Linked DNA regions of Caenorhabditis elegans. The protein of the gene in region 1 interacts with the protein of each later gene in a biochemical or structural test. Each region holds a gene or a part of one and is shown in the gene's direction. Other genes may lie near its edges.

Evidence for each region.
Region 2: the proteins of unc-76 (region 1) and unc-69 form a complex in vitro, tested with the Caenorhabditis elegans proteins (one study listed by BioGRID).

Annotation. Positions count from the first base shown.
Region 1 is NC_003283.11:15,069,985-15,075,026, forward strand, and holds the start of unc-76 (UNC-76), read left to right. Parts: upstream 1-1,775; 5' UTR 1,776-1,899; coding exon 1,900-1,985; intron 1,986-3,587; coding exon 3,588-3,669; intron 3,670-3,719; coding exon 3,720-3,838; intron 3,839-4,796; coding exon 4,797-4,902; intron 4,903-5,042.
Region 2 is NC_003281.10:10,317,185-10,320,650, forward strand, and holds unc-69 (Short coiled-coil protein homolog), read left to right. Parts: upstream 1-1,901; coding exon 1,902-1,947; intron 1,948-2,012; coding exon 2,013-2,150; intron 2,151-2,199; coding exon 2,200-2,338; coding exon of another isoform or gene 2,339-2,342; exon of another isoform or gene 2,343-2,595; coding exon of another isoform or gene 2,596-2,606; coding exon 2,607-2,814; downstream 2,815-3,466. Other genes in the region: Protein unc-50, read right to left, coding at 813-946; ostf-4 (Dolichyl-diphosphooligosaccharide--protein glycosyltransferase subunit 4), read right to left, coding at 1,268-1,375.

The DNA of each region.
Region 1 (5,042 bases):
GCACTACCACTTCGCAGGTGCGAAAACCAAAGAAAAAAGAGCCCTTTGAGGTCTAATAATCGTTGACTGCATAGTCCAACCAACTTCTTTCATCCAGAAAAAGGGCATAAATCACTCATTGTTATGTCGTAAACAAAAAAGTTTCGCCTTCTTTTTCTCGGCCAAATTCTTCTGGAGAAAAAAACTCGTATTTTTTCGGCAATTTGCAAGCTTTCAACTGTTTTCTGTTCTCGTATCATTTTCTTATAGTTATTTCGATCATAAAACTGAAACAAACTTTCAATTTTGTCAAGGGGTCAAACTTTTTCGGGCGCATGTCTTGAGATAATTGGGCTAATAAAATTAGTTTTAGACCCAGATGCAACATTTTTCTTCAAATTTGTATGTTTCTTGTTAGACATCGAAAACTCAGTTTTTTAATGACTTTGGAGAGATAATCGTATTTTTTCTGATCATGTTACTTTTCTAATGAACCACACCTATTTAATTGTCAATGAACGTATCACGAATAGGTTTCGGGTTTCCACATTTCCAAAATATGTAAGCGTAAGCCAAAGTTCTGTCACTTTTACACTTACTCTTCTGGAAACTGCTTTTTATTTAAAATTTTTTTAAAAAATTTCCTCGTTTAAATTAAAAGTTGTATTAATCAAGAGCGACAATTGCCGTTCGGCAATTTTTTTTGTCGAAAAATTCGGCGAAAAGCCGGTTTGCCGGAAATTTTTATAGGGATTTTTTATAAGCCGGAAACGCTTAAAACTGTGCCTTTTTGAAATTTTTTCCCGTCTTTTCTAGATATTTTCATAGGATTTGCTCCCTTTTCAAAATAAATTTAGGAACATTCATAGGATGCGTACAAATTTGCGGATTAAAATTGAAATTCTGAAGTTTCAGAAAAAATTTGCAAAACTACAATTTGCCGAACATTTTTGGCAGTTGCCGTTTTTCCGGCAAATTCGACATTTGCCGATTTGGCTGAAAAAAATCGTTTGCCGCCCAACCCTGATATAAATCATTGGAAACGTCTTCTGAAGTTGGACCCAAAACTCAATCTCACTTCGATCCCCCATTCCTATATTAACTAGACGAAAAATGATTTCGTAACAAATAATTCATCTATTTTTGCGGCGAACCGATTAGATCGGAGAGGAGTGGACACAATAATATGTCACCGCACTTTTCCTTCATTCTTGCACATCAATCACTCCGATTCTCGGCTCATCTGTGGGTGTGTGTGAGGCGAAAAAAATTGGATACTTGTTTCACATTCTCTCTCTCTCTCTTAGTCTTCTTAGTCCTGAAAAGAATGGCGCCGCTGCTGAGAGAAGGGGTTTCGTATTTCTGTGTTGGGTCTTTTTTCTTTTTCTCTATATTCCACCCCACCAAAACTCCCCGCCCCGCAAAAGAAATGTACACTCATTTTGTTGTATCTCTTTCTCTAATTCTCTCTCTCTCTCATTCACTCTCATTGAGAGAGTCGGTCAGAGAAAGACAACCGGAGGGATCCAATACATATGCGGTTTTCCGTTGATGTCTCTGCGTCTCTATCCGTCTCTTTTTCGTCTTTAGTTGCCTTTGCGCGCATAGTGACTACTGCAGAAGAGAGCAGCAGCAGCTCTGTTTCTACTTCTTCTTCTCCCAAACAACGACGACATTTGGAGCAAAGGCATAGAGCATTCATTTAGTTTGGCGGCTGGAGCCCTCTAGCATCTCTCTCTCTTTGTCTCTGCATCTCTCCAACGTCGTCAGTTTGCCTTTTTCCTCCTTCTTTCTCCCAATTTCAATCCCAAAAAGTCGTCGTCGTTTCCATTCTTCTTTTCTCTTCCACACTTTTGTGTGTCATCCGTTTTTCCTTCACCAAAACCTTTAAAAGTACCGATGCGTTTTGGAGAGGTGGCAATGGAGGCTGCAGATCTGCGAGTACCGGACATTCCGCTCGCCTCGTGTGATGATGATGATATCGATAGTAATAAGAATTTGAGCAAGTGAGTTTTTTTTTTGAAGCTGTTGGTGGGAGAGTGCAAAAAAAATCTTGAATTTTGCTGGATACTAGAGATTCCAAACTCCCTCACAAGTTGGAATTATGATCGTGAAGGCTTGTGATCCTCCGGTCATGTGTAGATTTACGCAGTTCGTGTACTCCGCGAGGAAAAGCGTACATTTTTTTGCAAAGGATTTAACAGTTTTTAGCAAGAAAGCAGGATTTCGGACCATACCAATTAATTTTTTTAAATCCGAAGTTTAAAACAGTGTTTTTAGGTGAAAAAAAATTACGTGATAAAAATATAGAAAACTAAAAAAAATAGTTTCAATTCCAGATTTTTAGTCAAAAATATAATTGCACACTTCTCCTCGTGGAGTACACGAGCTGCGTAAATCGACTCATGGCCGTTTTAGAGGTTCACAGTATTTTTCATCAGATATTTAGGTTACTGTAGCAATTTTTTAAGCTCTGGGCCTTTAAGAAATACTGTAATGTTGTATCAATATGAATATCCCTATTAAAAAATTTTAAATTCACTTTTTTAATATATATTTGGAAACCACCTTATTTATAAATAGGTTGTAGAGGTTTTTTTTGAAAAAAAAGCTTATTATCGAGCTGAAAAATTCAAATTAAGAGGGCATTTATTGAAAAAAAAATCGCAAAACTATAACTTCCCACTAGATTTTTTTGTAAATTCCTAGAAAGAACATCAGTGCACTTCTTTATGGTCCTTCGAATTCCTAGAGAACAAGAAAAATTCGCAGAAATTTTCTTTTAGTGCTTCCCTAAGTGTTTCTGACATACGTTCGATGGCCTCGTTATATCTTTTTTCTATTTCGAACATGCCAATAAAACTGGGCCCCAATCCAATTGAACGAGCCAAGTGTTGTAGAGCAGCAGCAGCAGAGGAGAGGGTACTTAAAAGCTCATCTTCTCACCCCCTCACGGCCATCCACACACACACACACACACACACACATACCCCAATACACATCCAAAAGATACACATTATCTAATTATCGGATCTTCATACTATTTGGGGGTCCTAAAGAGGATGGGGTGAAGCTGAAGAAATACATATTATGGGGACGCAGAAAAAATATAGAAAAATACGCTTTTTGAAATCGAGATGTAAGCGCGCTCCGCTGCCAAGTCTCTAAGTGCCCCGCCTCTAAACTTTGGGTCTCGTTAGGTATTTAGTGGTAAAACTAGATTTTTCGACTTTTTGTTATGTTTTATGTTCTTGTTTAGGATATTTTTATATCGAAATTGATGGAATTATAATTCACACTTAATAGAAAATATGTTATCACTTCTCAACTTCATATGAATTAATAAATATCATTTTGACATAAGAATCATGAAAAACAATCAAAAACGCAACACAATGTCGAAAAATTCATTGAATACGGATGAAATCGGTTAAAAAATAATTTAAAACGTTTGAATTTCCTAACGAGACCCGACGTTTTGGGGCGGGACATATTGATTTGTCGGTGGAGCGCGCTTGCACTTCACTTTCAAAAATTGTTTTCTATTCTGCGTATCCATAATATGAATAGATGAAAGGATAAAAATTAAAAAAACTTGTAACTTTCAGCCATTCATCAGACGAGAAACATCACTGCAACAGCAACAGCGACGAGGAACGTCTTCATGACGAGTTCTCTGGATCCCTTGAGGTTGGACTTCTTGCATTGTCACACTCTTTTCAACATTCTTTTATTTTCAGGACCTTGTCGGCAACTTTGACGAAAAAATTGCGGCATGCCTGAAGGACCACGAGGTGACGACAGCGGATATTGCACCTGTGCAGATACGTACTCAAGAGGAAGTTATGAATGAAAGCCAGTGAGTTTTTTGGATTTTATTTGTGGATTTAAAAAAATTGGTTGAAAAATTAAAATTTGGGATCTAAAATTATTTTGTTAAAGTTCCATAAATCGTAAAAATTCATAATTCTGTTCAGAATAGCACCAAAAAATTGTAGTTAAATCCAATTTTTTAAATTAAAAAGTAAACTAATTTATAGCCTTTTTTCATAAAAATTAGTGAAAAATGGAGCAATTTTGAAATAATTTCTACTTTGGAACGAATTAAAAAAAACTAGCCCGAAAAAAAGCCATGTGTCGATTTACGCAGTTCGTGTAATCCGCAACTAGGACAATTTTACAGTTTTTGGATAATATTCTTAGTTTTTGACTATTTTCGCAAGTTCTTTTTGTATTTATCATTCAAATTGTTAATTTTCTCGCTTTCCAACTTCAAATGACAATTTTCGTAGCAAAGGTCTCGCCCCGCGGATAAGTAATTACTGTCACTTCTGTCAATCGTCAGGTTTTTTTAAAATTCTTATTTAGATTAAAATTCACTTTTTTTCAACTCAAGCTACAGTAATTCGTTATCCGCGTGGCGAGTGAGGTATAACAAAAAATCTCCATAGTTGAAGTAAATTTAGATCCTTTTCCCGAAAACGCTATAAATCAGAAACGGCTCGAAAATTTGAATTCAAAAGTTTTTTCGAAACAGCAGTAAAACCCTCCTCGTCGTGGACTTCACGAGCTGCGTAAATCGACACATAAAGTTATAGTCATTATTACATAGAGTGCCTATAAACACAGAAAACATATTATTTTCTTCTAAAAATAAGAAAAATGGCCAAAACTCTCAACTATTTTTTTAAGAATTCAAAAAAATTCGAAATATAGTGAAAACGAGCATTTTGGATTTTTTTTTAAAAATTAGTAGTAAAACATAAAAAATTTGTTTTTGAGTTTTTCCAAAAATTAAGAAATTTCTAAAATTGCAGAACATGGTGGACATTAACCGGAAACTTTGGAAACATTCAACCTCTCGACTTTGGAACCTCTTCGATATGTAAAAAGATGGCCGCAGCTCTGGACAGTGATTCATTGGTGAGCAGAGGGTCCCCGGATCTTTTTGTTATTCACTTTGTCTTCCTTTTCTGTTTTTACTATTGCCTTCTTCCACCATCAACGTTCTTCTTGTTTTTCCATCTATCTTTTCCACTATGCTCATCTCTCACGCTCATCGT
Region 2 (3,466 bases), on another chromosome or scaffold:
CTCCTTAAAAAGTAGGTCAGGACCTAGTTTTTAACTTGACCTCCTCAAAAAGTAGGTCAGGACCTAGTTTTTAACGTGACCTCCTCAAAAAGTAGGTCATGACCTAGTTTTTAACGTGACCTCCTTAAAAAGTAGGTCAGGACCTAGTTTTTAACGTGACCTCCTCAAAAAGTAGGTCATGACCTAGTTTTTAACGTGACCTCCTTAAAAAGTAGGTCAGGACCTAGTTTTTAACGTGACCTCCTTAAAAAGTAGGTCATGACCTAGTTTTTAACGTGACCTCCTTAAAAAGTAGGTCATGACCTAGTTTTTAACGTGACCTCCTTAAAAAGTAGGTCATGACCTAGTTTTTAACGTGACCTCCTTAAAAAGTAGGTCAGGACCTAGTTTTTAACGTGACCTCCTCAAAAAGTAGGTCATGACCTAGTTTTTAACGTGACCTCCTTAAAAAGTAGGTCAGGACCTAGTTTTTAACGTGACCTCCTCAAAAAGTAGGTCATGACCTAGTTTTTAACGTGACCTCCTTAAAAAGTAGGTCATGACCTAGTTTTTAACGTGACCTCCTTAAAAAGTAGGTCATGACCTAGTTTTTAACGTGACCTCCTTAAAAAGTAGGTCAGGACCTAGTTTTTAACGTGACCTCCTTAAAAAGTAGGTCATGACCTAGTTTTTAACGTGACCTCCTTAAAAAGTAGGTCATGACCCAAACTTTTGAAAAAATTCAAAAATGTCGGAAAATTTTTCGAAAAAACTTTATTTTCATCATATTTCAACACTTTTTGTGTAATTTTCAGGGAATTCCCCACACAAACCTTGTAGAATACGTGGAATACTGTCCCGGAGACGTGTAACCACTTCTCGCCGGCTCGTATCGAAAGTTTCGCTGCGAAATCGGTGACTGGGATGGACCTGGCTGTGTTCCGCTGCCTCGCGGCTGTGAACTCATGACATATACGATCTCTGCCGGGGATCGATGTGCTGAGATGGACTTTTTTTAAAATTTTAATTTAAAGTTTTTTTTTCTGAAAATAAGTATTCGAGGTGAGACAAACACCAATAAATCGAAAAATTAATACGAATAAAAATTTAAATTAAATATAATTTATTAAATTAAAACTTTCAACTGATTAACCCATCCAACAAGAATAAATTAGGGTAGAGACGAATTTTTTTTGGTAGATATCACATTTGGAGAGTAGAAATCTGAAAAAAAAACTACGTAAATCATGGAGAATTGGGAAATAAAACGAACTCTTTTCCCGAACAATTACTTGTTCTTCTGGTTGGCGTTGAGATAGTGGAAGAGGACGACGAGCATGAGCATCGCGATTCCAAGAATGTTGGCAGCAATTCCGAGTTGAACGTCGCTGATCATGACTGGAAAAAAATAATAGAAATTTCGAAACTAGGGGAACGGCGGGAAAAAATCAAAGAAAATGGCGTTTAAATGGAAAATTCAGTATGTACTGCAGATAAATAGACATAAGGTATAATAAGAACACTGAAAATTAAGATAGATTCGTGAAAACTCAAAAATCTTCGATGAATTCTTTCAAAATCGATAAAGCGAGTTTTTAATCGATTTTACACTAATTTTATTAATTTTTCCTACTTTCCCAATGAAATTTTCTTATTTTCAATGTAAAAATTAGCAAAATTGCGATGAATTTTCATTGAAATCGTGAAAAACAGATGAAAAAGCAAGAAAAATGGATGTAAAGTGGCAAAATACACGAAGAATACATCGGAGCGCATTTGCATTGCCAAGTTGGCGATAGACAATTCTCTGCGTCTCTCACGCTCGCCGCACATCTCTCGTTTATTGATTTTTCGATTGTCCACTAGCCGCTGGCTCCGCAGTACGTCTTCTAAGCCCTACTTCTGTTACAACGAGTATTACGATGAGCCAGAAAACCGAGCAAGATGATATTCCTCTCGCTGATGATGGTAAGTGTTCTGAAATTGAATTTCCTGAAAATAAACTTTTTTTAAAATATTGTTTAATTTTCCAGACGACACTGTAACTATAATTAGCGGTGGGAAAACTCCGAGAGCTGCCCAGCCACTTCCGAAGGAGGAACCACCAGAGGATCCAGAAGAGAAAGCCCGGATGATCACACAAGTGCTGGAACTTCAGAATACTTTGGATGGTAATTCACAGAAATTTCACTTTTTCTATATTGATTTTTTAAATTTTAGATCTCTCACAACGCGTCGAATCTGTCAAGGAAGAGAGTTTGAAGTTGAGATCGGAAAATCAAGTGCTCGGCCAGTACATTCAGAACCTAATGTCCTCCTCGTCAGTATTCCAGTCTTCTCAGCCGTCACGGCCCAAGCAGTAGGTGTTGTGTTGTCCTTTAAGAATCTTTTTTTCTAATTCGATTCCCCGTCCATTGATTGTTCCATTCTCGCCGCCCACATTGGGACCCTGTGCATGATTTCCTGAAACCATAATTGCCCCTTCCACTAACCCCGCTTTAATTGCTCCTCCGATCTTGTCAGCCTTTCAGTTGCCGAAATGTTACCAAAAAGTTATATATTTTATTAAATAAATAAATAATTTTTCCAAGATCCTATTACAGTTAATATTTACAGAGATGATTCAGTTCACGACGACGATTTTGGAGAGTACGAATATTAGAAATTAGGCCGATTGTAAATAGAAGATGTCCATACCACAGTCTTTCGTTCGTTTCAAGAGCTCAGTTTGCACAACAAAAATTCTCTTATCGTGTTCAACCCGCTTATTTTATTTTCTTTACATTTTCTGTACGATTTTTTATCACATTTTTGTGTTTGTGTGAATATATTTAGTGTAGTAAAACTGTTACGAGTGCTCATCTCTTCTGTTGTGTTGTTCTATGCCTTCATTGGGTGACAAACTGGTTTCCGGCGCCGTGGACATTGATTTTATCACATAATTTCACGTCTAACAATGCTATTTAGTTATTTTTCAGTTAAAGTAAATAAAAAACAAAGAAAATGAAACTGGTAAAAGTAAATTTAAGCAATTTTCGAAAAAAAAATTTAATCGAATTAATTTCAAAATGTACCAACTACAGTAGTATCTGCAATTGTGCGTCGCGGTGTTTGCGGAGCATGATTTTTTAGTTCAAAATTTCGAGACCCGAAGGAACTCGGAGGATGTCCAACTGGGTGGATTCCCAACTCGGGGGATTGGCCACGCCCACAGAACCGTGCCTTACAATACGCCCATTTCTGCAACCTCCGCACGGTTTTAAAATTATTTTTTCTTGTTATTTCTCGCTCTATTGAGAAAAATACAGTTTTAAAATCGTGCGGCAGTTGCAGAAATGGGCGTATTGCAAGCCACGGTTCTGTGGGCGGGGCCAATCCCCCGAGTTGGTAATCCCCCCAATTGGACATCCCCCGAGTTCTTCGGGTCTCCCCAATTGGACATTCCCCGAGTTCTTCGGGTCTCGGGTCTCGTACCAACTACAGTAGT